Linked DNA regions of Arabidopsis thaliana. The protein of the gene in region 3 binds, or shares a complex with, the protein of the main gene of each other region. Each region holds a gene or a part of one and is shown on either strand. Other genes may lie near its edges. A codon is read from its position in the direction of its gene.

The links.
Region 1: the proteins of AT2G07727 (region 3) and AT5G13430 are in contact, whole or in part, in a cryo-EM structure (PDB 8BEL), measured with the Arabidopsis thaliana proteins. Residues at the interface, in NP_178804.1 of Arabidopsis thaliana: Trp148 (codon at 4,445), Thr151 (codon at 4,436), Val152 (codon at 4,433), Ser155 (codon at 4,424), Leu156 (codon at 4,421), Ser158 (codon at 4,415), Trp170 (codon at 4,379), Gly173 (codon at 4,370), Gly174 (codon at 4,367), Phe175 (codon at 4,364), Ser176 (codon at 4,361), Arg184 (codon at 4,337), Pro268 (codon at 4,085), Met269 (codon at 4,082), Thr271 (codon at 4,076), Pro272 (codon at 4,073), Pro273 (codon at 4,070), Ile275 (codon at 4,064), Leu288 (codon at 4,025), Arg289 (codon at 4,022), Ile291 (codon at 4,016), Pro292 (codon at 4,013), Asp293 (codon at 4,010), Lys294 (codon at 4,007), Val350 (codon at 3,839); in NP_568288.1 of Arabidopsis thaliana: Ile135 (codon at 4,298), Met138 (codon at 4,289), Ser139 (codon at 4,286), Ala140 (codon at 4,283), Ser141 (codon at 4,280), Val144 (codon at 4,271), Leu145 (codon at 4,268), Ala148 (codon at 4,259), Val165 (codon at 4,208), Lys166 (codon at 4,205), Arg168 (codon at 4,199), Gly169 (codon at 4,196), Lys170 (codon at 4,193), Pro171 (codon at 4,190), Thr216 (codon at 4,055), His217 (codon at 4,052), Leu218 (codon at 4,049), Gly219 (codon at 4,046), Cys220 (codon at 4,043), Ile221 (codon at 4,040), Leu223 (codon at 4,034), Phe233 (codon at 4,004), Pro235 (codon at 3,998), Cys236 (codon at 3,995), His237 (codon at 3,992), Gly238 (codon at 3,989), Gly250 (codon at 3,953), Pro251 (codon at 3,950), Pro253 (codon at 3,944).
Region 2: the proteins of AT2G07727 (region 3) and AT3G10860 are in contact, whole or in part, in a cryo-EM structure (PDB 8BEL), measured with the Arabidopsis thaliana proteins. Residues at the interface, in NP_178804.1 of Arabidopsis thaliana: Glu221 (codon at 4,226), Met222 (codon at 4,223), Gln329 (codon at 3,902), Gly330 (codon at 3,899), Trp333 (codon at 3,890), Leu334 (codon at 3,887), Leu336 (codon at 3,881), Ala337 (codon at 3,878), Leu340 (codon at 3,869), Leu341 (codon at 3,866), Trp344 (codon at 3,857), Glu351 (codon at 3,836), Ala352 (codon at 3,833), Pro353 (codon at 3,830), Phe354 (codon at 3,827), Ile357 (codon at 3,818); in NP_001327236.1 of Arabidopsis thaliana: Val6 (codon at 1,597), Lys7 (codon at 1,594), Leu8 (codon at 1,591), Ser44 (codon at 1,483), Leu47 (codon at 1,474), Leu48 (codon at 1,471), Pro51 (codon at 1,462), Val52 (codon at 1,459), Thr55 (codon at 1,450), Tyr56 (codon at 1,447), Tyr58 (codon at 960), Ala59 (codon at 957), Phe62 (codon at 948), Lys63 (codon at 945), Glu66 (codon at 936).

What each region holds. Positions count from the first base shown.
Region 1 is NC_003076.8:4,301,533-4,312,751, forward strand, and holds AT5G13430 (Ubiquinol-cytochrome C reductase iron-sulfur subunit), read right to left. Parts: upstream 6,039-11,219; 5' UTR 5,868-6,038; coding exon 5,693-5,867; intron 4,526-5,692; coding exon 3,882-4,525; 3' UTR 3,574-3,881; downstream 1-3,573. Other genes in the region: AT5G13410 (FKBP-like peptidyl-prolyl cis-trans isomerase family protein), read right to left, coding at 1-29, 106-174; TRA2 (Aldolase-type TIM barrel family protein), read right to left, coding at 548-793, 881-1,063, 1,151-1,339, 1,571-1,871, 1,994-2,043, 2,137-2,308, 2,505-2,680; AT5G13440 (Ubiquinol-cytochrome C reductase iron-sulfur subunit), read right to left, coding at 6,899-7,542, 8,310-8,490; ATP5 (delta subunit of Mt ATP synthase), read right to left, coding at 9,026-9,154, 9,252-9,338, 9,420-9,532, 9,624-9,867, 10,025-10,072, 10,314-10,409. UniProt on the Arabidopsis thaliana protein: Component of the ubiquinol-cytochrome c oxidoreductase, a multisubunit transmembrane complex that is part of the mitochondrial electron transport chain which drives oxidative phosphorylation.
Region 2 is NC_003074.8:3,392,765-3,401,426, reverse strand, and holds AT3G10860 (Cytochrome b-c1 complex, subunit 8 protein), read right to left. Parts: upstream 1,853-8,662; 5' UTR 1,613-1,852; coding exon 1,443-1,612; intron 962-1,442; coding exon 913-961; 3' UTR 672-912; intron 616-671; 3' UTR 501-615; downstream 1-500. Other genes in the region: MES17 (methyl esterase 17), read left to right, coding at 1-199; GLY2 (Metallo-hydrolase/oxidoreductase superfamily protein), read left to right, coding at 1,905-1,951, 2,048-2,170, 2,576-2,737, 2,858-2,936, 3,083-3,196, 3,299-3,475, 3,597-3,671; AT3G10845 (RNA-binding (RRM/RBD/RNP motifs) family protein), read right to left, coding at 3,901-4,006, 4,125-4,148, 4,227-4,315, 4,403-4,517, 4,599-4,660, 4,781-4,856, 5,078-5,163, 5,252-5,332 and 9 more; AT3G10840 (alpha/beta-Hydrolases superfamily protein), read left to right, coding at 8,146-8,344, 8,615-8,662. UniProt on the Arabidopsis thaliana protein: Component of the ubiquinol-cytochrome c oxidoreductase, a multisubunit transmembrane complex that is part of the mitochondrial electron transport chain which drives oxidative phosphorylation.
Region 3 is NC_003071.7:3,444,239-3,455,748, reverse strand, and holds AT2G07727 (cytochrome b), read right to left. Parts: upstream 6,216-11,510; 5' UTR 4,887-6,215; coding exon 3,705-4,886; 3' UTR 2,973-3,704; downstream 1-2,972. Other genes in the region: AT2G07728 (uncharacterized protein), read right to left, coding at 1-44, 515-596, 919-1,152, 1,232-1,280, 1,508-1,638, 1,941-2,063; AT2G07725 (Ribosomal L5P family protein), read right to left, coding at 6,790-7,347; AT2G07724 (uncharacterized protein), read left to right, coding at 9,032-9,355; AT2G07815 (LOW protein: cytochrome C biogenesis ccmF-like protein), read left to right, coding at 10,216-10,335, 10,637-10,699, 10,971-11,258, 11,466-11,510. UniProt on the Arabidopsis thaliana protein: Component of the ubiquinol-cytochrome c oxidoreductase, a multisubunit transmembrane complex that is part of the mitochondrial electron transport chain which drives oxidative phosphorylation.

The DNA.
Region 1 (11,219 bases), on a different chromosome or scaffold from region 3:
AATCGAGCAGCCACAGTCGTCCGGCATCTCTGAGAATCAAAATGAGAGATTCAGTGAATAAAAAGGAAGAAGAAGAAGAAACAGAGAGATGGTGCGGCGTCGTACGGTGGTGGAGGAAGTTCCGGCGAGCGCTGTGGATTGAGGGAAGCAGCCAAAGGACGAAATTGACGCCATTAGAGTGAAACTTAAAAAACTGATTTTTTTGTACGTCTAAAGAGAGATGAGAGATAAAGTCTCAGCTTTTTATGTAGAGAGGCTTCTAGGAACAATTGTTCATATAATCCGAACAAAGAAGAAGACAAGGACACTTTTTTACTCGCCAATTGTTTTCAGTGAAAATGTAAATTACAAATACGGTAAAAAGTAACAAACTCTTCTGAAGCATCATCTTACAAGAACAAAGAAAATAGAATAACCCATAATGTGGAACATCAAGCAAAATCCATCATAACCACTTTAGAAAGCATGCATAAGGATTGAAGAACAAAAGCCAAAGGTTCTTCTTTTTATTTTAGCGTAACCAAAAACATAATGATGACTCATTTCCTCAATGGCTGGCTAGTTTGAGAGTGTTGGCCTTGTCTTGCAGTGTACCGAGCAGACTCTCGAAACTCTTCTTGAAGGAATCTACTCCTTCGTCTTCCAACTGTTCTCCTACTTTGTTCCAGTCTATTCCCAGCTTCTCTAGTGCACTGTAAATCCCTTCTGCTTCTGACACATTCGCATCTATTGTCCTCTTCACTATTCCATGATCTGCGAATGCTTCCAGGGCTTGATCCGGCATGGTTGATACCTAAATCACACCCACAAAAACTATGAATATACTTCCAAAGCGTTAATACAGCCTATTGACTTCAACACAAACAAAAAGATGACTTACAGTGTCAGGTCCGATGAGAGGAGCGACATATAAGGTGTCAGAGTAAGCTGGGTTCTTTACACTTGTTGATGCCCAGAGAAGTCTCTGTTTCTTGGCACCTTTCTTTACCAGAGCTTCCCATCTTGGGCCAGAGAATTTCTGCTGGTATAGCTTGTATGCTAATGCAGCTTGAGCCACAGCCGCCTGCAAGAGTAAACATATCATGTGTCATAAGCTAATACTCTACTCACAGTGGCTGGTGTAAGATCTCAGCGATGAATAGAGCTTTACCTTCCCACGGAGATCTAAGGCTTCAGGGGTACCAATTTGCTCAAGCATCTTGTCCATGAGAGTATCCACCCGACTGACAAAGAAGGAAGCAACACTGGTAACTCTTGAGAGGTCATCAAGTCCAGACGCCTCGAGGCCATCCAAATATGCATCGATCACTGCTTCATATCTGGCGATTGAGAATATAAGCTGAAACAGAACAGAACATATGAGAAACGATTTAGAAAAGGTAACATCAGTGCATCCTTGGAACACCCTTGAACTAATCTAGTTTCAGGTTTAAAACGCCCAAGAAATCCAGTGATCTAGCACATCATCACACAATACATGAATTTGAAGTATTATGACTTATTTTATTTTGAAGTTCTTTAAAACTTGCAATAAGAAACTTGAATAATGAAACATACTAGGATAACTTACCGTGACATTGACACTTATTCCAGCTGCAATGACATCCCTGATGGAAGGAATGCATGGAGCAGTAGCAGGAATCTTAATGTAGACATTACGACGGTTGACAACCTTGCTAAGATATTTAGCAGCTTCAACAGTTCCTTGGGTATCATCAGCAAGCCTAGGTGAAACTTCAACAGAGACATAGCCATCCGCACCTTCTGTCTGGTCATAGATTGGCTCAAAAAGTTTGCAGGCATCCTGAATATCCTTCACCACAAGTTCCCAATACGCACTTTCAATGTCCTTTCCCGATTCCACAAGTGTCCTAATAGTGCATGTCAGGTATACCATTAACATATCAGACAACTTTTCATATAAAGAAGAACTCTAAAGTTTTAATAGCATGTTGTTAACAACCACAAGTCTAAGACAATCACAAAAAGATACCTGAATTGATCATTATAAGCATTTGAAGTGGAAATGGCTTTTTGGAAGATCTGCAAATGTATAAAAAGTGAAGAAGTAAAGACAAATGAACAAACACAGAGCAAAAGCAAAACCAAACACACAAAGAGAGATGATAAAATTACCGCAGGGTTGCTAGTAACACCTCTAACACCACGAGCAATCAACGGGAGAAGATCTGTGACTGGACGGCAAAGATTATCATACCAAGGACTCTGACCTTCCTTCTCATATAGATCATGAAGAGTCGTTCTCTTTCCAGCAGTTCCATTTCCACCAGACACTGAACACCTCACACTGCAAATTAAACAAAAAAATCAGACTTTTACCAACCAAAAAGGGGAAATACAGTTGCTTTTCCTAATCCATCTTATAAAAAATGTTACTTTGAGATTCGTGGTACGTTTCCAGCTAAAAAGATTCAATTTTTGGTGAACCCCAAGAGCGAGAAACAGAGACAAAAGACATGCATCAAATGGATATAAAGACTTACGAGAGGGAAGGTATTGATCGTTGGTTATAACGAAGAGAAAGCTGAGAAGAGGAAAGCTTTGCATTCAAAGCGCGGAAATTGACGAAGGATCTAGGTAAGACGGAGGAAGAGGAAGAAGATTTGGAGTCGACGCAGGTGGCGCGGGGAAGATTAGCGAGATTCGAAATGGTTGCCATTTTTTTCGTCGAGGGAAATACGAAAGTGTTTTTTCTTGGTTTGATCGATCGGAGGATAAAAACAAAGAAAGGGGCTTAAAAATGGGGTTGGTGAAGTTTTGAGTTAGGTCGGGAACGCAAACGACGAAACTATATCATGATGGCGATAGATGCTCATAGTTGACCATTTTCTGTCTTATTTTACATTCTAATTTCTTACAATTTATCCAAATGTTAAAACAATAAATAGTTATATACTAGATAACAAATTTATTTAATTTAGATAAATGTGATTTTTTACATCAGATGGTTTTAATAAACTTTCTCTAATGTATGATTAATCAGTCTGAAATTAGAAAACAATGAATAAAATAATAAGAGATAGAGCGGTGTCTTATGATAAACACGAGAGGTTGCTTAGTGAGGACCTTTGGCTTGTAATTAGTGTGTAATGGCCGTTGTTAGTTTGCAAGGGTCGGAGAAGTCACTTCCCATATCCCAAAAGGAAAACAACTTACAAGAGATAAGTCACTTCCCATATAGTTCATGGCCGTTGTTGGTGACCAAAACAAACAAGATTTTAACATTTTCATCTCCCACAATGGTTTTTACCCAAATCAAACTTTGGCTTTTGTGTGTCAAACATTTTTTCTTAACTAAAAAAGATTAAACAGAATAAAATATTATGTTTTTGTGTTCTTAGCCAATCTAGAAAAAATCTAGCTATGCCACTTTTGGATGATTGAATATTCATTCACGGGATGTCTTACGAATACAGTTTGAACTTATTCGGTTATCTTCCTGTAAACTATCAATCAAAGCTGATATATTACCTTTTGTTGTTTGTTTCTACGTTGGTTTTTCTCATACCTTTAGTTTTTCTTTTATGAACGTTGAGATACTATCGAAACTCAAATGTAAATACAACTTTTTAATTGGAATGACGATGTTTAGAATTATGAGATACGAAAGGAATCTCACTCATACATAGGACAAATAGGCATGTTAAATAATAAACACAGACTATGAACATAGTCGTCTTTTACTAGCGATGGATAAACGAAGATTGAGTATACTTCAAACAAAAATCACAAGTTTGTATTATTCAGCAAAAACAAGTCAATCTTGCTCTAACATGCCGGAAAATATTAATTAAAAGAAAAAAAGAACAAGTGAAGATCATCATTCAGATCCAGACTCTTGACTGTTGTGCTTTTATTAATCAACCGATGAGTAACTTATTCTCTTCCAGGAAGCTGTAGGTTGGTACTTCCAGGTTGTATGGTGCAGGACCTTTCCTAATTCTTCCAGATATATCGTAATGTGATCCGTGACACGGACAAAACCAACCACCATAATCACCAGCATTAGGCAAGGGGATGCACCCCAAATGAGTGCACACTCCAACAACCACTAACCATTCTGGATTCTTGACCCTAACCGAGTCTTCTTGTGGGTCCCTCAGGGATCCAACATCCACACTATTGGCCAGCTTGATGTCATCTTCTGTTCTTCGCCTGATGAAGACGGGCTTTCCACGCCACTTGACTGTCACGGTAGTTCCTGGTTCTATGCTCCCTAGGTCAACCTCAAGGGATGCAAGGGCAAGGACATCTTTACTTGCAGACATGCTCACAATAAGCTTCAAAACAAGCAGGCGGAGGACAGAGGCATAAACAAACCTCCCACCCGACAAGACAAAATAGGCGAATGCACGCTTGCTAGGGTCACCAGGTGGGTAACGCTCATGGTTATGGTCATCATAGACAATCTTTGAGTTAGGCGTTTTGACAGCTTCGACTGTGGCTGGGACTTCTGAACCAAAACCTATCTCATTTCCTTGAGCAAGGACTTGAGAAGAGAAGCCTGAAAATAGCATGAAACATTAATATTTCACATCAAAGGCAAACTTTATACTTGGTCAAGTGTTCTACAAGAATAAGAATAAGCCACAGGACTACCACAATCAAGATGTGACCATTGATGTATAATCTTCTAAGGAAAAACAAAAGTACATAAAACGGATTCCATGAAGTATGAGATCCATCCAAACAATTCAAACCATCGTATCAAACTCGGGGAGTGGAAACTTAAATACGATAATCTCCATAAAAAAAACAAGAGAACAAATTCAATGATCAACATGGAAACAGAAGAACAAAAAATTGGAATCTAGAAGCCAATGTGAATCACACTATGGATAACGCATTCCAATGATTTACAAGCAAGGAGCTTTAGTCATCAACCAAAGAATTACATCTAAACAGGTCAATCCATAATCCATCAATAAACTCAAATGTTCATTTCCTTCTGGACGAAAGAATGAATCAGAGAAGCCAAGTATACCAAATTCATCCAAACAAATCAATAATAACAAATTCAGTGAAACCTTAAATACTAAAACCAACGTAATAAACCAAGAGAAAAAAATATATTGATCAGATGCTGTATATTACAGAAACGCTTAAAACACAACAAAATTTCCAATGCTAAGAACAAACAAAGCTCTTTGGTTAAGAAAACATAAATTTCAGAATGCAAGTTCCTCAGCATGCCTTTAAACAGCTATAAATCCTACAAACATAGTATACAGTTAAAACATCCATGTCCCTAACAATGAAGAACTCAAAAGGATTGATACACAAGATCAAATTTCAAAAACCAAGAAGCCAGTGGTGAATCATACTATGATTAACGCACCGAAAAGAGGAAACTTTCCTAGTAAAACAAAGGATTATCTCAGAACTGAACAATCCACACGAAAGAAGTAATCATCAAATGCAATACAAATCCAGCAAGGAGAAGAATGTAGCCAAATGGTACATCAAGCTCATGGAATTCAAATCAGATGACACGTTTGTTCCCACGGATCATTGCAGATACAATACTAGAAATCTCAATCATTCCCGTGAATCATACAACCAAAAAAAGAAGACCTTTTCAAAAATCAATCAATCAAATAAAACTGCAAAGAACCACCGAAAATGAAAAATCAATGTAGAGAGAGAGGGAAAGGGTTATAAATCGGCAAACCTCTGATAAGGCTACGGTGGTAAGATGAGAGATCTGCAGAGGGGAGGGATCTGGGAGCTGAAGAGGAGTCGCCGCCACCATCGGAAAGGGTATGGTCACGGGAGACGACGAAGGAGGTCGCAGTCGAAGATCTCTGCGAGACAGAGAAAAGCCTCCTCCCTGCTACACGCAGCATCTCTCAGCTCAAATGTGAATCTAGGGTTTCGCTCTAGCTGAACAGAGAAATCCTCAGGTTTGGGACGGCCGATGCAAAACAAAACATAAGAGACTACTTACTAGTAAGTCCCTTAAAAATTGTCTTTGAGAAAAGGTCAATTTGTTTTGTTTTTTTTGGTTTTTGCGTATTACTTGATATTTTTTTACTTCAGGATTTTGATGGCATGGTTTTTTTTCTAATTTTAATTAATAAAATCTTTTGGTTTTACGATATAATTTTTTTGTGTGTGTGTATTTGTAAGATAAATTATTTTATTTGTATAAAAATCGTAATTTTTAATAATAATAATAGGGGGTCTATACTTGGTAAAGGATATATTTTGTTGTTGTAATGTTTAAACAAGATTTCCAACAAAAAGACTGTTTTACATCTGTGTGAACTTTTCAATACTAGAAGAAAGAGCTAGAAGGACATCATCAAAGAAGTAGTCATCGATGAAAACAATCTGAACAAGAAAATTAGGCTAAGATCCACAACCAGAATATGACATCTTTCATCAAAGTAGTAGTCTCGAGGTTCACAATTGGATTTCTCACTATGGAAGAGAAGGTTTATGGCTTAGTTGAGAATTGAAGGTCTTCGAAATGTCGTCTCCAGTAAGAACACGAAAGTTTTATAACACACCTTGAACCTTACCAAGTTTTTGTCTCAATTGTGATAATGGCTACAGACTTTAAGGAAAGGAAACTCTCTTACAAACGATATGTTACAAAATTACAAACATAAGAAAAATAGGGATGATACTATTCAAAACTCTTTTCAAATAATAAACAGAGACTATGAAGTATGAACAATGTATTTTCACCAGATGAGACAGATACTAAGTCATACAATGACAAGTTTGTATTATTCAGCAAAACAAGCCAATTTTTGCTGAGCCCAAAGTGTGAGGAAAGCGAACTTGCACGCTAAAATGCCGGAAAATATAAAAACAAAAACAGATTTAAGATCATCCAGACCATGACACTCGGACTGTTGTGCTTTATTCATTAACCAATGAGTAATTTATTCTCTTCCAAGAAGCTGTAGGTCGGTACTTCCAGGTTGTATGGTGCAGGACCTTTCCTAATTCTTCCAGATATATCGTAATGTGATCCGTGACACGGACAAAACCAACCACCATAATCACCAGCATTAGGCAAGGGGATGCACCCCAAATGAGTGCATACTCCAACCACGATCAACCATTCTGGATTCTTGACTCTAACCGAGTCTTCTTGTGGGTCCCTCAGGGATCCAACATCCACACTATTGGCCAGCTTGATGTCATCTTCTGTTCTTCGCCTGATGAAGACGGGCTTTCCACGCCACTTGACTGTCACGGTAGTTCCTGGTTCTATGCTCCCTAGGTCAACCTCGAGGGATGCAAGGGCAAGGACATCTTTACTTGCAGACATGCTCACAATAAGCTTCAGAACAAGCAGGCGGAGAACAGAGGCATAAACAAACCTTCCACCCGACAAGACAAAATAGGCGAATGCCCGCTTGCTAGGGTCACCAGGTGGGTAACGCTCATGGTTATGGTCGTCATAGACAATCTTTGAGTTAGGTGTTTTGACAGCTTCGACTGTGGCTGGGACTTCCGAACCAAAACCTATCTCATTTCCCTGAGTAATGACTTGAGAAGCAAAACCTGAAAATAGCATGAAACATTAATATTTCACATCAAGGGCAAACTTTATACTTGGTCAAGTGTTCAACAACACCAAGTATTAAGCAAAAATATTTTCAAGAGATAACACAGAAGAAAGGAATAACACTAGCAAACATTTAACATTAATGCATAGAATAACATAAGATTATAAAAACGGATTCCAAGAGATAACAGAAGGTGTCATCCAAACAATTTTCTACCATGATATCAAATTCAGTGAAAACTAAACTAATCTATCTAACGCAAGATCCAAGGAAGGAACTTCAATGATCATAAATGCTTAAAACATAAGAAAACTCCTAAGATAAGATTGCAAACATAGCCCTTTTGGTTAAAGATATGGAATTCCAGATTCGTTTACTGATGCAAGTATCTTATATGATGTGCCCAAAGACGATAAAACATCCATTTCCATAATAATGAATAAACTACATGTCAAAATCGATTATCTCATCAAAAAAGGATTATCTCAAAGCTGGTCAATTCATATCCGATCAATCACTATTCCAGCAAGGAGAAGAATGAGACGAAATGGTACATCAAGCTCTAATACACATCATAAGAATTCAAAACAGATGACTTAATTCCCATAGATCATCTCGCAGATACGAAACTAGGAATCTCAATCATTTCCGGACTTATACAAGCCCAAAAGAGGTGACTTTTAAAAATTTATGAATCATTCAATGGATAACACCAGAAATGAAAATCAATCGAGAGACAGAAAGAGTTGTAGATCGGCAGACCTCTTATAACGCTCCGGTGGTAAGAATTGAAAGATGAGAGATCTGCAGAGGGGACAGATCTAGAAGCGGAAGAGGAGTTGCCTCCATCGGAAAGGGTATGGTCACGGGAAAGGACGAAGGAGGTCGCCGTCGATGATCTCTGCGAAACAGAAAAAAGCCTCCTTCCTGCTACTCGCAGCATCTCTGCTCAAATGGGTTAAGACCGATTCTAGGGTTTCGCTCAAAGCAAGAACACACAATCGTAAGGTTAGAGATGGCCGATGCAAACAAAAAGATTAGTCCTTTACCAAAAAAATGTTTTTTTTTCTTCTTTGCGGATATTCCTTTAATAGTCTTCGAGAAATCGTCAATTTGGTTTTTTTACTATTAATACTGAAGAGAACAATGACGGTGTTCTAACATGATAATTATGTAGCTTCGTGGCATCTTAATGTTCATTCGTGAGTATGAATAAGCTACTTGGGCATAGTTTGTAGATTTATTTACCAAATTAGCCCAACGATTCAAATCTAAACAAAAACAATCTCATTGAAATTTGATGTCTCGAAAAGCTTTATTTCGAAGCAAACAACAATATGTAAAAAGCAAATGACAAAATTCAAAGGGAGAGAAGTGGCCAGCTATTATATTGTTTCCCAGGAGGGTCCATATTTATTTGTCAATTGGTGGCATTCATCACAAGCATGTTTTCTTGGGGGAAATTTCTCTCAAGATTTTCAGAGGTTGTTGAAGTCAACAGGTTCACGGAGGAGCCTCTCCATCTGTTGTGCCCTTGTCCTGATTGACATGTCCAACACCTTTTGTTGGAACTCTACGATTAGTCCACCGTAGATACTTGGATCAATCTACAAACACACATTACCACCATTGACATAGATGCTTATATCCATTTTATGGGTTACTAGAAAATCACAAGCCTTTGATGCATATCTGATTACATACCTTTTGTTCCACAGTGATTTTCTTCCCTGCTCCAATGATCTCCTGAAGCGTCTCAGTCAGTTCTTTCTCCTCAGCAGGGGGAAGCGGCTGTCCAAACCATATGATTAAATCCACAATACTGAGTTTATGGTTATTTAAGAGATAACAAGTATTGAGACTAAAGCTTACAATGACTGTGGTAACCAAAACTTTGACATCTCCCCTATGTGCGTTTGTCAGCTGCATAAATTTCTTCACAATGGCATCTAGGTTCTTCAGCTTTCCATTCTCAGCTAACAAAGCTGTTACAGAAAGCAAACAACTTTTAATATCAGCACAACAAGGTCAATCAAAATCATAAAAACAAGACAGTTTCAAACTTGAATTACATACAGAGGAAGTTCTTAGTGGGTTCGGCAAACTTTGCTTGATCACAAGCATCCCTAATAGCAGCCAATCTTGTCCCTCTAGGAACAGAGGGATCCTTTGTAAACTGAGCAAAAATAGGAGCTGTCTTCATTGCCTCAATCATCTCAGAAAGATCCGTCTCAATCTTTTCCAAGGAATTCATTTTCACAGCTGCAATGTATAGCCATGAAGCAAAGTTCCCATTTTCACCAACTAAAGCAATAGGCACCTGAAACAACAACAAGTATAAATCTAGATACACTTCCATTACATATTATACAAAATCCAGCTATCCGCGGTTCATCATTTATGCCAATCAAACAATTCAAGCCATTGTCGCGATTCTCGCATCTACAAAATAATACGATGGTGATAAAAGGGTGTACCTTAACATTAGCGGTTGTTTGAGCAGAAGCAGTTGCATAAGTTCTCAACTGCGATAGAAATATACAAACTTTAAAGATTGATTGATAGCATTCTCAGGAAAATAACAGAGATAGAGTTAAAAGACTTCCAAAACATCTAAAGCCGAGCAATGTAAGCGAGAAAACACGATAATCCCCATTCTATACTGTTATCAATCCAATTAGGCGATTGGATCGACTGATCTCGTAAGAATCGACTCCGAACAAAAAATTGGACTGAAAAGATTCGATTTTTAAGAATGCGAATTACCGCTGGGAAAAGCGACTTGGATCTAACGGAGGAGACAGAATCTGTTACGGCGATGGTCTTGAAGAAGGAGATCCCTGATCTGAAACGATTAGCCATTTTTGTTGCAGATAGATTTTGATTGGAACCCTAGAAATGTGCAAAAGTCGCTCAGCTGCTTTGTCGAGAGCAAAGAGATGAAACTGGTCAGAGGAAGAAAATAACTTAGTGCATTGGGCTTCACTGGGCTCATACTTATTTTATTGGGCTTATTACTACCTGTAGATAGTGGCAAATTTATGATAGTTAATTTGTTTTGCTCAGGTTTTTAGTGTTTTACCAAGTTTCAAATGTTATAGTGAGGTTATGTAATACACAACTTAACTCGTTTTTTTGTTGTAAACAAGATCTTGTAGATTATTATTTTGTATTATTGTTGATATATATATATATATATATATTCAAATTTAACTGTATATATGTGTATATGAAAAATATCATTTTTAATGTGTATTTGAACTCTACAATAATGTATTTTTCTCTATTTCAAAATAATTGATGTTCTAAAAAAATACTATTTTTCTTACGAATTAAGATGTTGTTCTCAATTTTCTATCCTACTATATTATTTGGGAAGTACTTTTTAAATGTAACCTTAATTTTTGTAAGTAATTACATAGGTATGCCATTAAAAATAAAATTTTAAAGAATAAATTAATTTATCTCTTTAAGGATTAAAAAGTTAAATACTAATTTAATTAATTAAATTTAATTTAAAAACGGAATATATTATTAATTTCCAAAAATAATAACCAATCAAAATCAACATATAAGATTTGATATCTAAATTTTAATTAATTTAATTTAATTAGAAAAATAAAATGCATTATTAATTTCCAAAAATAATAACCAATCAAAATCAACATATAA
Region 2 (8,662 bases), on a different chromosome or scaffold from region 3:
AGAGGAGCAAGTGCCGCGCGTGTACATCAAGACGTTACTCGACCGGGTCATGAAACCGGAGCAGCAAGACGCGATGATAAGACGGTGGCCACCTAGCCAAGTTTACGAATTGGAGAGCGACCATTCTCCTTTCTTCTCTAACCCTTTTGTTCTCTTTGGTTTACTCATCAAAGCTGCCGTTTCCGTCGGTTCTATCTAAAACTATTTAAAGAACTAAAGGATTGCCTTTTGTTGGTTTTAAAACCGGTTAAGTGATCAGTATTGTCGAGGGAGTGTTTATTTATTTTTGATTTTTGTGACATTTTGGTATTTTATATTAATCGTTTTGAAATAAATTATGTTTTGCTTAATTTTATCTTGCGTCACAAAAGTGAAATAAATTTCGGCAAATCGTGTAGTTTTATATAAATCACTAATTTGCAGTCTTCCAAGGTCTACTTAAAGTCCTAGCCGGTATCGACACCAACTTCACAGTTACCTCAAAAGCCTTAGACGAAGAGAATGACTCCGCTGAACTGTACTTGATGAAATGGACAACATTTCTAGTCCAACCAACGACTCTGTTCATCACAAACCTTGTAGGAGTGGTTGCAGACTTGCAGTGTTTGATTTTGCCTAATAGTTGTTTGTAGTTGATGTCTTAAGGGAACATAGGCAGCGTTTGATTTTGCCTAATAGTTGTTTTGAGGGATCAATATATTACTCGATTCAATCCAATTTTCATACCATATATCAAGAAAGATGAACAACAAGAGTCATTGTCATGAAACCCAAACATTTATTTAGCAAAAGAGTTTCAGAAAAACTGACTCAGAAGATTCCCACAAGAGTTTTTGTGAAATTTATAGGCTTGAAACAAAAGAAATTACTTCAAACTGTCAGGTTCTTGTAGAAAAGGAGTGACTTCATGCTTCAGAATCTGTGCTCAAGCTTCTCCTGTTCCTTGAAATACTGAGCATACCTGCATTCATTGTGTGTATTTGAAAGAATAAGCACAAAAGATGACTAGAAACTAGACCATAATATGCAGCACCCGTAATGTTTAGATCGATCAGGTAACTAATAGCTTCACAAGCAAGAACTCAACAGTTTTAATAGAACCACACTAATCAGCTAATGATTACGACTAAGCCATTTAAATCCTCAACATCTTGAAATGCAATTCCACAGAGTGGTTCATCAACAATACTAATTTGATACCTGGAAGACTTTTTCTAGCTGAGAGTCTCTATATACTACACTCCACTTAATACTCATCTCAAACTAACTTAAATCCTATCATTTCTCATTTGTTCCTATGACACAAACGAAGAACCCTATATCCATATGCGCCGCACAAGACCGATGACACAGATCGAAGAACAATCAACCAGATCGGAACTCGATCCAAAGGTTCCTTTACCAATCGATTGATGAGAGAGATAGAAAGAGAGATAGAGTACCAGTAGGTTCCAACGACAGGGGTAACGAGAAGAGTGGCGCTGATCCAATTCTCAGAGACCTTGTGGTGGATCTTCTCCGGCAGATCCTTCCAGAGACCGGTCATGATCTTCTGCTGAAACGGAGAAAGTGCGTAAACCACCGCCTTCAATTTCACCGGCTGCTTCCCCATTTTCTTTTTCTCTTCCCAGATAATCCCAACAACAACAATCCACAGTACGAGAACGAATCTCCCCCAAAACCTAAAATAAACAATTCTCAACGAAGCTTATGTTTTTTATCCGATTCCGGTTCAGTTACAATTACAATTGAACCGGATGACCGGCTGCAAAATTTATCCTGATTTGTTTCGGTTCGATCCGGTTTGAGTAAACCGAAATAGATAAATCACTAGTCCAGACATAAATGATGATGATGATACAGCTAGTGTTCCGGAGGAGAAGGACGATCGATCTAAGGAGACGATGAAGATCTTCCACGTTCCTTGTCTGCAAGACAACTACTCTTATCTGTGAGCCATTTTGATATCCTACTTCAATTTCGTTGCTTCTTAATCTGACTCGGTTCATCATCAGTTTAGGATTCTTTCTTCGTAAAAAAAAAACAGGATAATCGATGAGAGCACCGGAGACGCGGCGGTTGTGGATCCAGTTGATCCGGAGAAGGTGATCGCATCGGCTGAGAAGCACCAAGCTAAGATCAAGTTCGTACTCACTACGCATCATCACTGGTAAGTAAACCTCACTTCTCTCTATGTCACTGGTAACTTATCTTATTTGATTCATCTCCGAGATTCTCTGTTGGTTCTTATTACTCAGTGATATCGACATATGCTAGATTCCGGTCCTAGACATTAACATTAGTACAAGTCTATTGTTAAATCTCTCAGTTTTCTGATCAAGTGTTTAGCTTTTTCCTACTATCAGTTTCAACTGACTTAGAGATTCATCTTCGTGAGTCTGATTCTTTGTTAAAGTCTGATACTTTCTGCATTAATGTTTCACCTCTTGAAGATGCAAGATTTATTATATATGTACCATATGATGGTTGCCTTTGTCTTCGATGAAATTTGGATTTGAGGCGACGTTTTTATTTTAACACTCATTGTTTGATTGGTGGCTTGATATGATCAAAGGGATCATGCCGGTGGAAACGAGAAGATTAAGCAGTTGGTTCCTGATATCAAAGTATATGGAGGTTCTCTGGATAAGGTGAAGGGTTGCACTGATGCGGTTGATAATGGTGACAAGCTGACTTTGGGTCAGGATATTAACATATTGGCTCTCCACACTCCTTGGTTTGTTTTTTTTTTTTTTTTTTTTTCCAATGAATTTAGATGCATCTAATCTACTTGATGTTTAACTCAGTCATTTTCTCTTGTCATCGCTGATTCCTCTGATATATCTACTTGTTACAGTCACACCAAGGGTCACATTAGTTATTATGTGAACGGAAAAGAAGGAGAAAACCCAGCCGTGTTCACCGGAGATACACTTGTAAGTGGTAACATTAAGCTGAATCCTCTTGTTCTTCCCTACCATGGACCCTATATGTTCTCCGTAGATCTTTTATCTCTGTAAATGTCTAAATGGAGATAGTTATGAGTTAAACATTAAGCTGTGTTTACTTTGATTTTATACAGTTTGTTGCTGGATGTGGGAAGTTTTTTGAAGGGACAGCTGAGCAGATGTATCAGTCGTTGTGTGTGACTCTGGCTGCATTACCTAAACCGACACAGGTTTACTGCGGCCATGAGGTAAAAAAATCAACAGCTTCATTATGTCTTTTGAGTTCTTAACTCATAAAAATGGATGCCTATAAACTGAATAATCCGCTATTCATTTCTTATGGTTCTCAGTACACCGTTAAGAACTTGGAATTTGCTCTAACTGTGGAACCAAACAACGGGAAGATACAACAGAAGTTAGCATGGGCCCGTCAACAGCGCCAAGCAGATCTTCCCACAATCCCTTCAACACTGGAGGAAGAGCTCGAAACAAATCCATTTATGCGTGTTGATAAGCCAGAGATACAGGTTATTACTCCATTTGGTTCATCTTCTTGAACAATTCATGATTCGGTTTTATCAGCTATCACTGTTGATATCGATCTTTACTTTCTTGTCGTATATCGAGATTAACTTTGTTATTTTCCAGGAGAAACTCGGTTGCAAGTCGCCAATTGATACAATGAGGGAAGTTCGGAACAAGAAGGATCAGTGGAGGGGATGATGATAAATGGAGAGCTTCTTGCCTATGTTTTGTGTACTTGTGTTGAATGATCCTGTAAAAGGTGTATGAACCAGTAATGTTGATATTCTGTGTGAAACTGTGAACCGGTTTGGTAAACCGAAATCAGACCGACCTGTAAGCCGTACTCCCTTTTTGAATTTTCAGTTTACTATGGATAATAATTTCAGTGTCTACACTAATCCCCGTAAAAAGAGAGCTTCTTCATCTTCTAGCAGTCGTCCCCGTAAGAGAAGGTAATCTTCTTACCGCAGAATCCGTTGGATTTTGCCTTCTGTTGCTTCAGATTCGATTCTCGTAGAAGGTTGTCTTCGTACCTGCATTGTATCAAAAACCCTTGTGATCTCTCCCCATTTATACGAAAAACTTCACCGAATTTGCCTTTGATAACAAAAAATCTCTTAAAGGCAAAATAGTAGTTAAAAAATCCCTTACCAAAGCTTCTCTGCAAGCTTGTACCTAATTAACAAAAAATGATAACGTTAATCTTCTGTTATGACATCAAAACTAGAGCAATAACATGGAAAATCAATGTACATGTGTTGGAGAGGGTATGGAGCTATCTCAGCCAGCTCAAGAAAGATTTTGTGATAGCGCAAACTTTTACCATTCCTCTGTTCCAGCGCCTACAGTATAAAAATATTTCATCAAAACAATTTCATCATATAAGTAAGTATACACTAGTTTTCATCATTGCTATAAAAACTACTCACCTTCTCTGCTTCATTAGCAGAAGCAAACTCAAAATAGCCACAGCCCATATGCTTACCCGATTGGTCAACAATAAGTCGAACACGAACAACTTCAAAGTCTTGGAAGAAATACAACCTGTAAACATGAAGAGGATAAAACATCAGTCATGAAAAACTTGCTCCAAGAACGAAAGAGTAAACTAAAGGTGCTACTTACATCCTTTGTATACTAGTTCTAGGAGGGAGATTGGTAACAAAAAGCGTCTTTTTTCTTGCTTCCTGTATTTAGCAGCCAAGTGTGTTAGCATGGCTCTAAGGAGGTAACAGTTTTGTTATCAAACACTTGAGCATTTCCCCTCTGAGCCTGACATATTTTGAAGATGATAACAACACGCGTACCTCAACAAAATAGGGAGTTTCAGCAAGTCCTTCCACTGCTGCCTCATCTCTTTCTTGTCCAAGGTAGTCTTCGTACCTGGAACATTAAACAACCCTTGTGATCTCTACATGTATACCAAAAACTTCACCCAATGTGCTCTTGATAACAAACCCTCAAGATGCAAATAGTTGAAAATTCCTTACCAAACCTTGTGATCTACGCACCACCTAGTTAAGAAATATAATATTAGTGTTAGTCTTCTGTGGTGGCAATAAGTTGACAGCAACAAATCTCCATAACATGGAAAATTAATTTACTTGGGTGGAGGGAATGGAGCTATGTTAGCCGCCTTAAGAAAAATCTCGCCATCCTGCAAATATTCACCCTTCTTCTTTTCCAGCGCCTAGAGTATAAATAAACGGTTTAACTAATCAAATGACTGCGACTTGTATACATTACTTTTCATCAATTACTAGAAAAACAACTCTCACATTCTCTGCTTCCTTAGCAGAAGCAAACTCAACAAATCCCTTGCCCACATGCTTGCCAGTGTGGTTAACAATTAGTCGATGCTGTAAAAAAGTGGAGGATAAAATATTAGTCATGAGAAACTTGCTCCAATAACGAAAGAGGAAATCTTAAGGTGCTACTTACATATCTGATATTATAGTCTGGGGAGTAAGATGGGCAACAAAGAGCGTCTTTTTTTTACTTGTGGCAACAGCCTGCGTTTAACAGCCAAGTGAGTTAGCACGACGCAAAGAAGAAAAGGACTTAAGGTTGCACAAAAAAAAAACACAAGATTTCTGTTATTATTATTAAAGGTTTCTGCTGAGCCTGACATATTGTGAAGACAACAAGAAGAGGTACCTCAGCGAAATCGGGAGTTTCACCATGTCCTCTCATCAAAATGATCTTATGACCATGAAAATATTCACCATTCTTGTTTTCCAGCACCTACAGTATTAAAAAGATTTAATCAGCTATCCAGCTTTCAAAAAACTAGTAGTATGTTTTTCATCATAAGTTTGTATACACTAATTTTCAAAATGACTAGTAAAATACTAAAATCGTCCATCATGACTACAAAACCAGTCTCACCTTCTTTGCTTCGTTGGCAGAAAGAAACTCAACAAAGGCACAGCCCACAGGCTTGTCCTCATGGTTTGCAATAAGTCGAACACTAACAACTTCTCCAACATCTTGACAGAAACCGAAGCTGCAAAAGTGGAGGGTAAAATATGAGTGATGGGAGAGTTACTTTTTCTTTGCTCAGAGAAGAAAAGTGGGAGTGCTACTTACATATCTAATATCTTAGTTTGGGGGGAGAGATTGGCAACAAAGAGAACTTCCTGTGCATTATACAGGAACAAGTGTGTTAGCAGGAAACAAGGAAAAAGTAGCTAGCAAGATTCAGCCCCAGAAAATAAGTAAACATTTCGAGCGTTTTGAAGATAATGAGGGCAGTAGGGTGGTACCTCAGCAAAATCGGCGGGAGGTGTCTCATCTTCTTGTCGTGGAAGGAAGTCTTGGTACCTAGAAAAATGGAAAACGCTAGTGATCTCTACATGTATACAAAAAAACTTCAAAAAAAAGTCTTGTTCCCTTACCAAACCTGGTGATCTATGCAATACCTAATTAATCAAAAAATGAAAAGCCTTAGTCTTCTGTGATATTGTATCAAAAAGTCTAGCAATCAGTTACAAAACGTGGAAAAATCATGTTTACTTACGTAGGAAGAGTCAATGAAGAGCTTAGCTTAGGCACTTTAAGATAAATCTTGCGATCGAGCAAACATTCTCCATCCTTCTTTTCCAGTGCCTAGAGTGAAAAAAACGTCAGAAAATAACCTTGGATACGTTTAAACATATAACTAACTATACACAAGTTTTCAAAGAAAAAAAAAACTGGTCTCACTTTTTTTGTTTCATAGGGAGAAGCAAACTCAACAAAGCCAGAGCCAGTACGCCCACCATCTCGTTTTATAGCAAGTCGAACATGAACAACTTCTCCAACATCTTTGAAGAAAGCGACGATATGTGATAATGGGGCTCGGTGAGGGATACGGCCCATAAAGAGCGTATTTTTTTATCACGGAAGCTTCCTGAATTTAACAGCCAAGCAGAAGTTTGTGTTAGCATGACGAAAAGGACAAAACAAAATTGCATAAGGAGAGGTAGCTACCTCAACAAAATCGGGAGTGTCATCACGTCCTTCCACAGTACTTTCCTCCTCCTGTTAAGCGAGTAGCCGTTGGAACAGATTTTGGAGAACAAGATGCTTAATTTGAACATAATAAAACTTATTACAATATTAAACCTTGAGAGAGATTAAATTAGCTTGATCAGACTTGTGCTGGAGGCTATCAGCAAGTCCTTCCGGTGTCTCCTCCTGTTACATTCACATACATACATACATAAGTGGTGTATGTATTAAAAAAAAAAAGTGGAGTGATCCGACGTTACTTTCTTCTCCTCGTCCTTATGTTTCTTGAGAAACGGTTTGGTCTCCAAATCATCATCTTCCGGATTTCTCTTACCTAAAAGAAGAGCAGATCAATGGAAAAGAAAAGAAATAAAATCAACAGCCAAGTAGATAGTAGCTCAGAGCCACTGAAAACAAACCACATAAATTAACTTCCTTGCTAGAACTGGCCATGGAGACGGTGAAAACAGCGCCAATTTTGTTTTCCGGCAAGGCAATTGACTCAAAGTTATAATAACAACCCTAGAAAGAAGGTAAGATACTTGACAAAAAAGAAAGAAAGAAGGTAAGGTATTCATAACAACAATAATCTGGTTTGGGCTAGGCCTGGGCTTTTATTGCCACCAACCAATCTGGTTTCATAACAACAAAATAATCTGGTTTGGGCTAGTCCTGGGCTTTTTTCCACAACCAAGCAAGATTCAATTCAAGTCTGGGATCAAGTGTGTGTGTGTGTGTGTGTGTTGTGTTAAGTGATCCTGTAAAAGGTGTATGAACCAGTCATGTTGATATTATGTGTGAAACTGTGAACCGGTTTGGTAATAAGCAGTAAAAAAAATAAAACTTTCAAATTGTAATACCAAAACATGGAATAGTTTAATCTTGGCGGCCCATAATACTGAGAAGCCAAGTGGCAACGAATGGAGTGGGCTTTTTACGTTTAGGTCCTCTTGTTCATCCAATGATCTTTAGTTTTTGTCCAATAGATTGTGTAGGTGAGAACTGAGAATGAGAAGTCAGGAATTCATCACCATTTTTTTTTTTAATTTGTTTTACAAACAAAGACAAAACACTGTTGAATCATCTAACCTTGCCGTTTAATTTAGAAAAAACAGAACAAAAATGTCAGAACTTTTGTGTAGTTGATGTTATTCTTCTGTCTGATTAGTAGGAAGCAACAATGAATTTAAACACCACATGCATCTTCTTTTTGAACCAACCAAAGCAGACTCTCTCAACATTATCTCTCAGCGACAAGTTTAGTTCAGATTCCTCTAGAACCCATTTTCAGATGTCTCGTCAGATTTCCGGCCAACCCTCTCGCCGTCTCATCGTCTCCAATGCTGCTTCTTCTCCTTCTCTCTCTGGTGGCTTCCCAGGTTTCTTACAAAAATTGTTCCTTTCTTTCTACTTAGAATTCAGATTTCAATTGATGAATCTTTCTGTTCGTGTTAGGTAACTACCATATTGAGGTTTCTTGACTCACCTATGAGATTTAGTATTCTGCTAATTGTGGAACATTTGAGCTTATAGTTCCAATTGGATGAAATTAGATTTGAGTAATCTCTCTGTGTATCACAAATTGTTCCTTTTTCTCCCATAAAGATCTAATTTTATATGAGTAATCTTCTTGTTTCATGAATATTTAGATGCTGGAGCACATAGTAAAGAGGAGATGGAAGCTGAAACAGAACAGG
Region 3 (11,510 bases):
ATACTCCGCTCTGGAAGTAACCTTACCTAGTGGATCAAGGGTTTCTACAGCTCAGATCCTCCCCAGCACACTCCAATGGTTTGTGTTGCCGATCGCAGCTTCGTTGTCTCAGATTCACCAGATAATGTTTCTAGCCCTTATTATCTTCGGTGATCATCCGGGTCTGGCTCAACTCTTAATGGATCTAACTATGCTGGACTTTGTATATGTTGACTGAAGCGCTCTTTTATTGATGGTAGTCTGCCTCGTCCTAGCCTAGATGATCTTATTATAAGTTATAAGATCTGGGTAAGGTGTAAGAGTATGGCGAAATCCTGGATTATGAATACTAGAGATATCTCGATCTTATATATGCAAGATACGGCAACGGAAGAAATTAAGGAAAAAAGGTTATAGCTCTCAAGTTCCAGTCTGAGCTACTGAATGATCCAAAATGAAAAGAAATATTTTTAGCTTTAACCAAAGAATAGACGAAAAAAGAGGTCCGAAGGTGCTTTAGCAACGAGACTGATACCTCCGTCAAACCTACGTCGGGGAGGAAGCAGCAAATCACTTGAGGGAGATCCTTCTTCAGCCACTAGGTCAGGTGCAGAAGTCTAAGTGGAGTACCGGCAATTCGTTTTCAAACGTAGGAAAGGTGCTGTCCAGCACACTGCTTTTCTTTTTACCTTTATTCCTAAGAGCAAAAGAAGGTAAACGAGAAATCACACTCCTATGCTTTGCTTGCATTAATTCTTGGAATTGCTGGGGTGGCATGACCAGAGTAATCTATGCCCTCGCTCTACTGCTTATGTTCAGATTCCTAAGCTGGCAGAATTCTATCCTGAAAATTGCTTCACCAGGAAGTAAAGTTCTTTCCGTTCCTGCTTTTTCTTCGAGTTGAAGAAGCCTTTGGTTTCACCGTTTTACGCTTTGAACCTGGACCTGCTTTCTTTCTTCAGCATAAGCGCACACTCCCAGCGAAGTAGCCCCCGCAGCCTCCCGCAGCCCCGTAGCCTCCCGCAGCCTCCCGCAGCCCCGTAGCCTCCCGCAGCCTCCTTTGACGGAGGTTTGACGGAGGTGGCGAAGCAACCTACTTTGACGTAGGTCTTTGACGAGGGGCTTTGACGCGGGTTTGACGGAGGTGACGAAGTAACCCCTTGAGGGTGTGGGCTTGAGTAAAGCAGCAAATTTGTTTCACTAGCAAAGCAATTGTCCGAATGAAGCGTCTCATCTTTATCACAAATGCTACGAATCCAGAGACTTCCTCTGCATCATCATCCTCGTCTGTTTCGCTCTCGCTCCAAGCAAACCAATAAGGGAGTATTCACACATTCAGCTTTTGTGTGCCCCTAGCGAAGCAACCTTTGCATTAAAAACATTTGAAGTCTCTTCTCTAAAAAAAGGCAGTGCTCAGCTTTGCCATATCCCTACACTGTTGTTCTCCCTTCTTTGACACACGATCACGATTTGTTGTTGTGTTCTGTGTAAAAGGGTTTTTCCTACTTTGTCCATTCTTCTTTACTACTTTGCCAAAGTTTCTAGCAAGCAGTGTGCTGCCGATTGAATCTTCAATATCTCTCTTGTTGTCTTAGTGTGTGCTGCAGCAATGCTTTTTCTCGGACTTCTCAGTCTCCATTTCATACGCTTGTAGGTGACCTACAACAACATCAAACGCAAGGGTATCTATGTCATTCATGGCTTGCGAAGGGCTGCTTCGCCGGGAGTGTGCTACAGAACAGAAGCTTTTTGACTTTTGTCTTTGTCTTTCATTTTGAGCAGCATTGGCAAAGCACAGATGAATTGTTCAATGGTCTCTCTTTCCTCCGTGAAGCCAGCAGCATATCAATACGAGATCTCTTTACACTTGTCAACCCTTCTGTAGGATATCCCAAGCATCTTTGGATGATTCACCCTTGAATGTGTCACTTGCGATTGCTGACAGTGCTTTGCTGTTATACTTTCGACTTCTTCTTCTCAGCGTCTGTCCATTTATCACTATCCTTTTCTTGCCCTGCCGCTTCTACTCCTTTCACCCCTTTCTCCACAGCATACCATGCGTCTTCATAAATGCCTCGGTGCATCTTCACCTTCTTTTATAGTTCCCTTTCTGAGATTGGTCGATGCACAGCAATCAATTCCTTAGATTCCCGCAGTGTGCTGATCCTCACCACCTGTTGTAAGTAGTCTTGGTATTTGGTCGGTAAGTAAAGGTACGGAAAGAGCGGACAACTAATTAAAATCTCTGAACGTGATACGTAAATGGGAGAAAAATATGGATGAAACCCCTTATCTATCTTTCCTTCGGCAAAAAAAGTTTATGAAGCCATCCTCGCCTCGGGGATAAGAGATCTTTCGATTCTGGAGAGTAAGCTTCAAGCTCAAGATCTCATTTGTGATCTTCTTCTTCGCGAACCTAATCTCAAGTGAACATTTATTATTGAATTCTCAATTTTCGTATAAAAATACCTGCCTTTCATTTTATTGAAGAGAAAACCTCCCCCCATTTGAACGAAGTCTCTGGCCTTCCCCGTTATGACTTTAGAGTATCTCTCACGTCTTATAAGTCACTTAAAAATGAATGGGCGGATAGGACCACTCCTGCTTGCTCTTGGCCTTGGCTGCTTAGAGACATCCCTTTAGTTCGTCTTAGAGGTCTCGATTGGTATTGCGCGGTCGGTAACGTTGGTGAATTAGGTAAAGGTACGGAAAGAGAGGGATTCGAACCCTCGGTAAACAAAAGCCTACATAGCAGTTCCAATGCTACGCCTTAAACCACTCGGCCATCTCTCCTACATTATGACCCAGAAACCTCGAGTGAATAGCGAGTCATTTATATTCTTGCAGTAAAGGTACAACCACAAACAATCTATTAAAAATGGAAACCTTTTTAGTCAAAGAAAGATCTTCCTTCGAAGAAAAAAAAACAATAAGAATTGTTACCATTAAAAAAAAAGCACTCTTTCTATTCATCTTTGTCAAGACGACGATCTCGTTATATTATTATATTTATACCGGATTTTGCCAATGAATTGGAACGCGAATCAACTACTCCCTTCATGGTCACATAGTCATTACAGAATTTTGTTTCAGGTATATATGTCTTTCTTAATTTCATATTGGTAGTACCTATTTTTCTATATAAATTCTTTGTGGTTTTTACCGCCCGCCGGTTCGCTTATCGCCTTTTTTTCCTCCGTTCACTTTCTCCTTTATCTTCTTCCTACCTTGCGGGGGTGACTTAGGCGCTAGGGTTAATACCATATTATATCGAATAACTCCTTACCTTTTTTCAAGAGAAGCCTGATTCTAGTCAGGATTGAAAAGATAATGACGAACCTTAAATGAAAGGTTGGTCCAATCTGAGTGCTTATTGTCTTCTTCTTCGCCTCTCCTCTTCCGCCCGAGCTGATCCGAATTCTCCTCTTAGTATAGGATTGTTAATAACTTGACTTAATGGTTATAGTGTAAAGGTTAGTTCTATATTTTTTCTTTCTTTATCAGAGGTTTTTTCCTTAGGCCTTGGGGGGCGGGGCCTCTTTTTTGATTTTTTAATAAAAAAAGGGGGAGAGGGACCCTTTTTGATTTTTGAAGTACAGCCCTACTCTATAGTGGAGTTATCTTTTCCCTATCTAAGCTATATCAACATAGCAAACTAGAAAACTTATCTGCTTGTCAATTCTTGGTGTAATATGTAAATGATTGGTGTCAGAATTTTTCACTGATCAGGTGTGATCAGTCTCATCCGTGTAAGAATTAGGAATTCCTCTTCCAACTCGTCCCAGAATGGGCGTTATGGCAAAGAACAAGAAGAAAACCAAAGGAGAAATTTGTCCAATAGTAACAAATGGTGCCTCCACAGGTTGACATCCGATCCAACCTAGTAGTAAGCAATCCGCCAAAAGCAACCAAAACATTCCTTGGTGAATCGGTCGAAAACTTGAACTACGCACATACATACTTTTAAAAAAAGGTAAAGCCAAGAGACATATAAAAACTGGTGCTATTGCGGCTACACCTCCCGCTTTGTCAGGTATACTACGAAGAATGGCATGGATCGGTAGGAAATACCATTCCGGCACAATATGAGGCGGGGTGGACATCGGATTAGCAGGTATATAATTGTCGGGATGTCCCAAAACATTAGGAGCATAAAAAATCCAAATAGAAAAAAAGATAGCAAAAGCTACCCAACCAACTAGATCCTTGACATAAAAATAAGGGTAAAAAGCTATTTTATCCATCTCAGAATGTACACCCAATGGATTATTTGATCCATATTGATGCAATGCGGCCAGATGAAGAAGACTGGCGCCTACTAAAATAAAGGGGAGTAAATGATGAAGACTAAAAAAACGATTTAAGGTGGCATTGTCCACGGAGAAACCACCCCAAAGCCAAGTCACTATGGTATCTCCTACTACAGGTATGGCGCTAGCTAAGCTTGTAATTACTGTAGCTCCCCAAAAGCTCATCTGACCCCAAGGTAGTACATATCCTATAAAAGCTGTCACAATCATTAATAGGAAGATTACAACTCCAAGACACCAAACAAATTCCCTAGGACTGCTATAACTCGCATGATATAGACCACGAAAAATATGAAGGTAAACCACAATAAGAAACATACTTGCCCCATTAGCATGCATATAACGGAGCAACCAGCCCCCTTCAACATCTCTCATAATGTGTTCTACGCTGTTGAAAGCTAAATCCACATGAGGTGTGTAATGCATAGCTAAAAAAACGCCAGTCACTATCTGAATGACTAAACAAATACCAGCTAACGGACCGAACCCCCACCAATAACTAAGATTGCTCGGGGTTGGATAATCTACTAAATGCTGATTAAGTGTGGAGGATATAGGTTGTTTAAGAAGAGAGAATCGTTGGTTCCTTATAGTCATTTCTCTTTCCTATCGTGACAACTCTTGTTCACCCACCTTTTTTTTGCGTTCTAGGGCCCTAAAATATCCTCAAATATATATATAATATTGATATTTGAGCCTTTCTTTTACTTTTGAAGGATGGAGGGGGCGAATTAAGCGTCGACGTTTTTAGAATTCTTTCTCCTACACACTTTTGCCCTCTTTCACCGAAAAGGAAAGAAGAATCTTTCAAGCGGGCAGAGACCTAAATTTCTTAGATTCATTCCTAAGCTTGCTTTGTCGCAGCAAGATGGATTGGATGATCAGTCCGAGAGTGCTGGAGAGAAGAGAAAGCGGTCAAAACTTCTCTGATTCGGTCACCGAGCAGTCGGACAACCCTTCAGTAACCCAGGATGGATGACCCGAGAGAAGATCTCGTCCACCAAGCGGGATAGCGGAGTGCGATCCTTAAGCAATTGGAGGTTCTCGCTCATCTCTTGGGATCCATATCATCTGTGAAAACTTTTCCTGTTACATTAGCATAGCTAAATTTGAATAGGATGACTCAGCGTCAGGAAAAGTAAGCCCCCCTTTGCCTTGATTGAATTTGGCTTCGCTGCGCTCTGAATCAATCAATAAGCTTATTGATTGGATTCATCCCATTTCATTTGGGCGAGAGGTCCGAAGGAACAAAGGAGCTCGACTGTAAGGAGAGGAACGAGAGTGAAACGAGAGGGAGGCTGGGGCTTATCCATGGGACTTGCCTTGGCGGTTAGACTCTCTTTTAACACATCCTCGAATTAGTCTCGTCGGTTGGTTGATTCTCGAAATCACCTCTTGAGAAAAAAAAAAAAAAGGTCCATCAGGTTTTGCCCTGCCATCTCCGGCGAAGCTCCATATCCGTGAGACTGGATCACTGTAATTCACAGAAGTCCATTTGGACCTCTCCTTTTAGTCGAGTATGTAAACAACCTCTCCTTTCAGTCGAGTTCCCTCTTTTATAAGAGTAATAAATTACGTTGGACCTCTCGCAACAAGTGCTCGAGTAATAAATACCTCTCCTTTTAGTCGAGTCATTTATACCTCTCGGGAGTAGGGGCTTTGTTCTGGGGGGGCCGACTTGCGCTGCTTTAGAAGGGAGATAATTTCATAAAGTAACTCTCTCTATCTATCCTTAGAAGTAGGGCGATAGAAAGTCAATATGAGATTTGCGTTGGTTTTTCCAACGAAACAAAGCATTATCATTCGGAAGGCTCAGTCCCAACTCGGACTTCCATGATGGGAAGAACCTCCGCACTACGGCGCTCCAATGAACAAGAGTTCTCCGCCTTAGTATATTTAGAAGAGTGGTCGGGAGTTACATTCGTAAGTTAATGTTATGTTCATGCATTATATCTTTCTTTCCAAGAGTACTACCTGTACGTAGTCTATGTATGGGGAGCATACTTGACAGGAAATAGACACAAGCGGTAGAGAGGTCCCCCACTTCGATTCCCGCCCCGTTCGCATCTCCGATCCAAGATAAGGGTTTTAAATACGTTACTTTTCGGTCCGGAGCCGGCTGGTAATGGGCTTACTTACCTTGCTTGTGGACCAGCTGCGGAGCTAACCTTTCTTTGTTCTATTGGTTTGGTGGTTGCTACCAAGACGATTTATTTATGCCCATCAAAGAACCTCGAGATGCTAATCCACGAAAAACGATACGAGAAATTCGAAAGAACTCAGATACAGAACGAGGGCGACCGTGGAAATACATCGGTTTCTGACTCGTGCAAAGGAACTATTTCTTGGCAACTTGGACAACTTATAACAATGTTTGTCCCGCATATCACTAGGAAGATCGGGATCTTTACAAAAGGCTTTATAAAGCTTTCGTCTCAATTCAAATTTAGCCGCGAGCAATCTACGTTTGTGATCTCTACTATTTTGCTTCTACGACATCTTACTGAGTTTCCCCCTCATCTTTTTGCAAAAAACCGCTCCACAGTGGTAAAGTCTCATCTTGTGTGTTGGCCGAAGTGATAATAGTCACATTGAACCCCCGAATATGTTCGAAGATCTCGAAATGATCTTCCAGTTCCGGGGAGAATTCGCAAAACTCCGTTTCCATCGAGAATTGAATGGAGTTTTTCCGTATTTCGACCGGAAAATCTAATAGAGACATTACTGTCGAGATTCTGACCGAAAAATTAGACATTCCATGCCCTCGGAGAGTGCTTTGTCGTGCTAGGTCACTTACATATCCTTTGTCTTTATTTGACCCCAAGAATGGATTAGATCGAAAGGACTTTCCTGTCGAACCCCTTTGTGTCTGTATGAATTTCTGACCGCGCGGAATCTCCATAGCCAATTTTCCATTTTTTATTATGAAATTATAGGGTGCCTTTGGTACTACTCTTATTTCACACGATCCAGGAACTTCCATAACGTTGGCGTGATTCGGTTTGAGCAACGGATCTTGACGTGATACATCTTCGTAATGAAAATTGAGTGGAAACATGAGTTGGCTTTTACAGTATCTATAGAATAAGCTGACTCCTCCTACTCCTCCTTTCCGAAAAGATCATCCTTGGTCCTTTTGACATAAGATTCTCGGCCCGCTTTCTCCCCATCCTCACAAGCCAACCTGACAGCCTCGCAAGATAACACGTACAAAGACAGATCAGATCAAAGGGTTACTCCCAGCAACATTACTAACACTTTACTGAACTAATGAACATCCATATAACTTTCCTTCACTAATTTCTTTAGACGGACTTCCCTCTTCTCTTATTACAGTTAGAACGGATTGAAAAAACAACTTACACATTTGGCACAAAGCGGCCCCATTACAAACAGGAGCGGCGGGACCGGGACCTCCACTAGATTTAGGGAGGCAGATTGCCCAAACAAAGCACTTCACTCTTATCTTATCTTATAGTGAAATTCCAGATCAAAACCAAACAAAGCACGCGTCTTCTTAACTAACTATTTAGTTAGATTCCAGATGACAACCATTCTACAAGACAAAGACGATTCAAGAAGCCGTGCCTTGAAGAAAAAACGATTCCAAATTACAAAACATTCGAAATGACCTCCTCCCAATAATCTAAGAGCTACAACGCAGCGCAAAGAAGCGAGTGAATTCGATGGATTGAGCTCCAAACATCCATACCACTTTCCTTCACTAATTAGCTGGACTTCGAAACATAGGAATCAAACTGGGAGAACAAGACATAGGAGAAGACAGATTTCGCACCTACATGATAGTGCCAGTTACGCACGTACTTTATGTGAGTCAAGCCAGAAAGCAGTGGGAAAACATCACGCTACAATACAACAGTACGTAGGTTCCAATCCACGAAAGGAATACAGGCGTACCGAGGGAGCACATAGCTAGTCTTATATGGAAGGAAAAGCACAAGCCTTACCCCGAGAAACCCCATGCTAGAATAGGCCTATGCACTCCCATACAGCGAAGGAAATCAGATCGAGCATGCAAAAATTCATAATAAATGTATCATAATTCAAGGCAGAAATCCCATCGAGCATGCAAAAATTCTCAATTCAAGGTGGAAAACACCTCCATCTATTCAAGGCGGAAAATCGCATCCAGGTAAGAGTGCAAAAATTCAACTACTGCATGAAAATTAGAGGGAAGGAAGCAAGTTAATAATCGCATATCATTCCTTTTTGACATCACGATTTCAGAGACATTCATAGCTCAGGAATCCACCATTAAATAAGGCTCCCAATGCCCACTCAATTATTTGAGTCGTTTCAAAGAAGGAGATGAAAGCGAGTCCAGGAAGGTCGTTTTGTTTGAAGTTGATCAGTCTAATATATCTCCCTCCGCCCTTGGCTCATAGGTAGCTCTGGAAGTTGGGATGTTTGCAATTCTAAATGGAGGGATTGGGAAGGAAGAGTGATCAATGCCAGCTAAGGTTGTTAGGTATCTTTGAAAGAGTAGCGTTACAGTTCATGTCAAATAAGAGTGGTGGGAATTCCATCTCAAAGAAGAGTGTTGGTCCAGTCCATCTCAAAGTTTGAGGACTCAAAGTATGGTTCAAAATCTGAGGTATGAGTTGAGGATGGGCTATGTTGCCACTGCGAGGTCGTTCTTCTGTTTAGGTCTCCCTCCGGCTCCGGTCAAGGCATTATCTGGGCGCTGTTGAAGCACGCTAAGAAGTCGCTTTAGGAAGTCAATGCTGAACGCTTTTGCTTTCCCGCAAACGAATGAATGCTTTCCCGCCAAACGAGGCTTTTGCGCCAACGAACGAATGAAATGCTTGAATCCGAAGATGCCGAGTAAGTCGATGTTCGGTGGTAGCGTTTCTGAGAATCTTTTTCTTTCAAAGATACGGATTGGTCTTTCTTTCCCTCTCCCTTTGTCAGAGATCAAATTACAAAACCAAGATTTCCGTTTGGAGGGACAGATGAGTTCCTTTGATCCCTTTGTTGATGAATCCAAGGCACTGGTTCGACGTCTAGGTCAGAAGGTCAAGGCGAAGTCCTTTCTTTGTCGATGAGTTAGTAGGTCATTTCTAAGAGTTAGGTCTTCAGGACTATATCATAAAAGCGGCTAAGGTCTTTCTATAGTTTCAAATGTCCTAAACTCCAGGGTTGTTCACCAATCCAATATAGGTATCAGCACGTGAAGAGTATCCGGCGGTGGGCGTGTTATCTTTCAAATCTTCAATCTGAAGGGAGTAGTCACCAATATAATATCATTTCTAATTGAAGAGAGAATCCCCATTGCTGTAACCCGGGTTGCTTTCAGCCTAGCTTGCGTGTCAGTCTAGAAAGAATTCCTTGCCTTCAGCCGAGCTTGGGTCCGGGGCACAGGTAAAGAAAGAATCCTCCGCTTTCAGCCTAGCTGGATCCTCTTGAATCGTCTCTCCGTCAAAAAAGAATGTGGCGGGGAAAGGTAATGGTTTGAGAGAGAAGTATCGGCTCCGGCCGTGGAGCTATCATATCGGTCTTTTCAATCTTGTAGCCGAGCGTTCCCCAATATAGCCTAAGCCAGTGAAGAGACCACTAAATGCTGTCATGCGAGCGAGTAAGTCGACGAAGAAAGTCTTCTATTCTATTATCGAGTTGTCGTTCAAAGGCGGTCAAGAAACCCTTTGTTGCGTTCGAATGTCCCGTTGAAGGCTCTACTATTTCTTATTGTTGTTGCTGAAATTTGAGAAAAGTGATCAGGTCGACATCTCGGTCAAAGAACAAAGGCTAGTCGTCAACGAGCAAAGGCAGCCAGTATTGTTCAAAGGTTCTCCCGGCTCGAGTCCGGTGATGGCTCCTTTCGTGGATTATAATTTCTGAATGGCCCCAGATAGCGTTAAGTTGATGGGCTTTCAACCTGAGAATTCTCAATATCATCTATGGGTGAATGGTATCAGAATGCCTCTTCCGAAATAGAAGGTTATTCGGCTTGTTCGTGAAAGCACAGAGGAATTCAAAGCATTGTAGCTGTTCCGAGGAAGTTCAATTCCAGAGATGGCTAGGGAGCGTAAGTGGGTGACGATTAACGTGATAGAACCTTTTCCGTAGTTCTTTCCCCTTTTTTTAACCTTGGGTTCAGATTCCATGATTCCTTTCTTTCAGTTGCAGATTCCTCAACTGCTCTTAGACAAATGTAGTCCGAGAGTAAGATATTAGGCTAATAAGGAAGAAAGCGGTCGTTCGCGGATTGCAGTTTCAGGTTTCTAGGAAGGAGAAACCGGGTCTCGACCAAATCAATCCAATAGAGTAAAGGGCTAGTAGCGGTCTTCCCGGGCTCAAGGTCTAGTGCAATCTTTGTCTTATTTGAGAAAGAAGTAGCCGAGCCTAGGACGAAGGCACGAAATGCTTTCTCGCCAATGAATGAAGAAATGGTTTCTCCTTTCCCGCCAAACGAATGAAGAAAGGGTTTCCCAAGTCGCGGATTTATTATTCTATTATAATAGTCTAAATCGATTAGCCAACTTTGCCCAAGCTCAGGAGTTAGTGCTTTCCTTTCATATTCATTATTATATAAGGTAGACAGATATAAGGTCAACAGAAGGTCAACTCGCTTCAGAAGGCTGGAGGTAACCTAAGATTCCTAAATGCAGGGGTCTCATGCATTCCAAGTAGCTGAAAAGTGGCAACTTGGATGTTTGAAAGACCCGCCGGATTCGCTCGGAGACTAACTCACTCGTCTCGTTCATGTATTTACTCGCAGCATTCGCAGCAAACTCGCAGGCAGGAGAGACCTTGAGTCCAGGCTCAGGAATCGACTGGTTCCGAGCGGACTCGGGCAGCTGCTGCTTGGATTATCGTAGAATAAGAGGAGCCGTCTTAGGAAAGGAAATGACTCAACTTCAAAAAAAAAAAGACAGATGCCGCCTACCTACTCGTGCTCGTAGCTCGATCGGAGGTCAAGAGCCGTGGTCCGGCGGAAAAACGGAAGTCGTCCGTATCAAGTAATACGTGAATTGCTCAGTAGTGCTTCGCCACTACCGTAGCTGGCGGAAATAGCTTAATGGTAGAGCATAGCCTTGCCAAGGCTAAGGTTGAGGGTTCAAGTCCCTCCTTCCGCTCCTGGTGTTCGAACTAGTCATTAATGGTCGGCTTCATTGGTATCCTTTCGGTATGCCTTGCGAACATTTTCATTTTTAGCGCCTTCTCTTCTTTAGAGAAGCCAAACTCGAACGGATAGAGCAG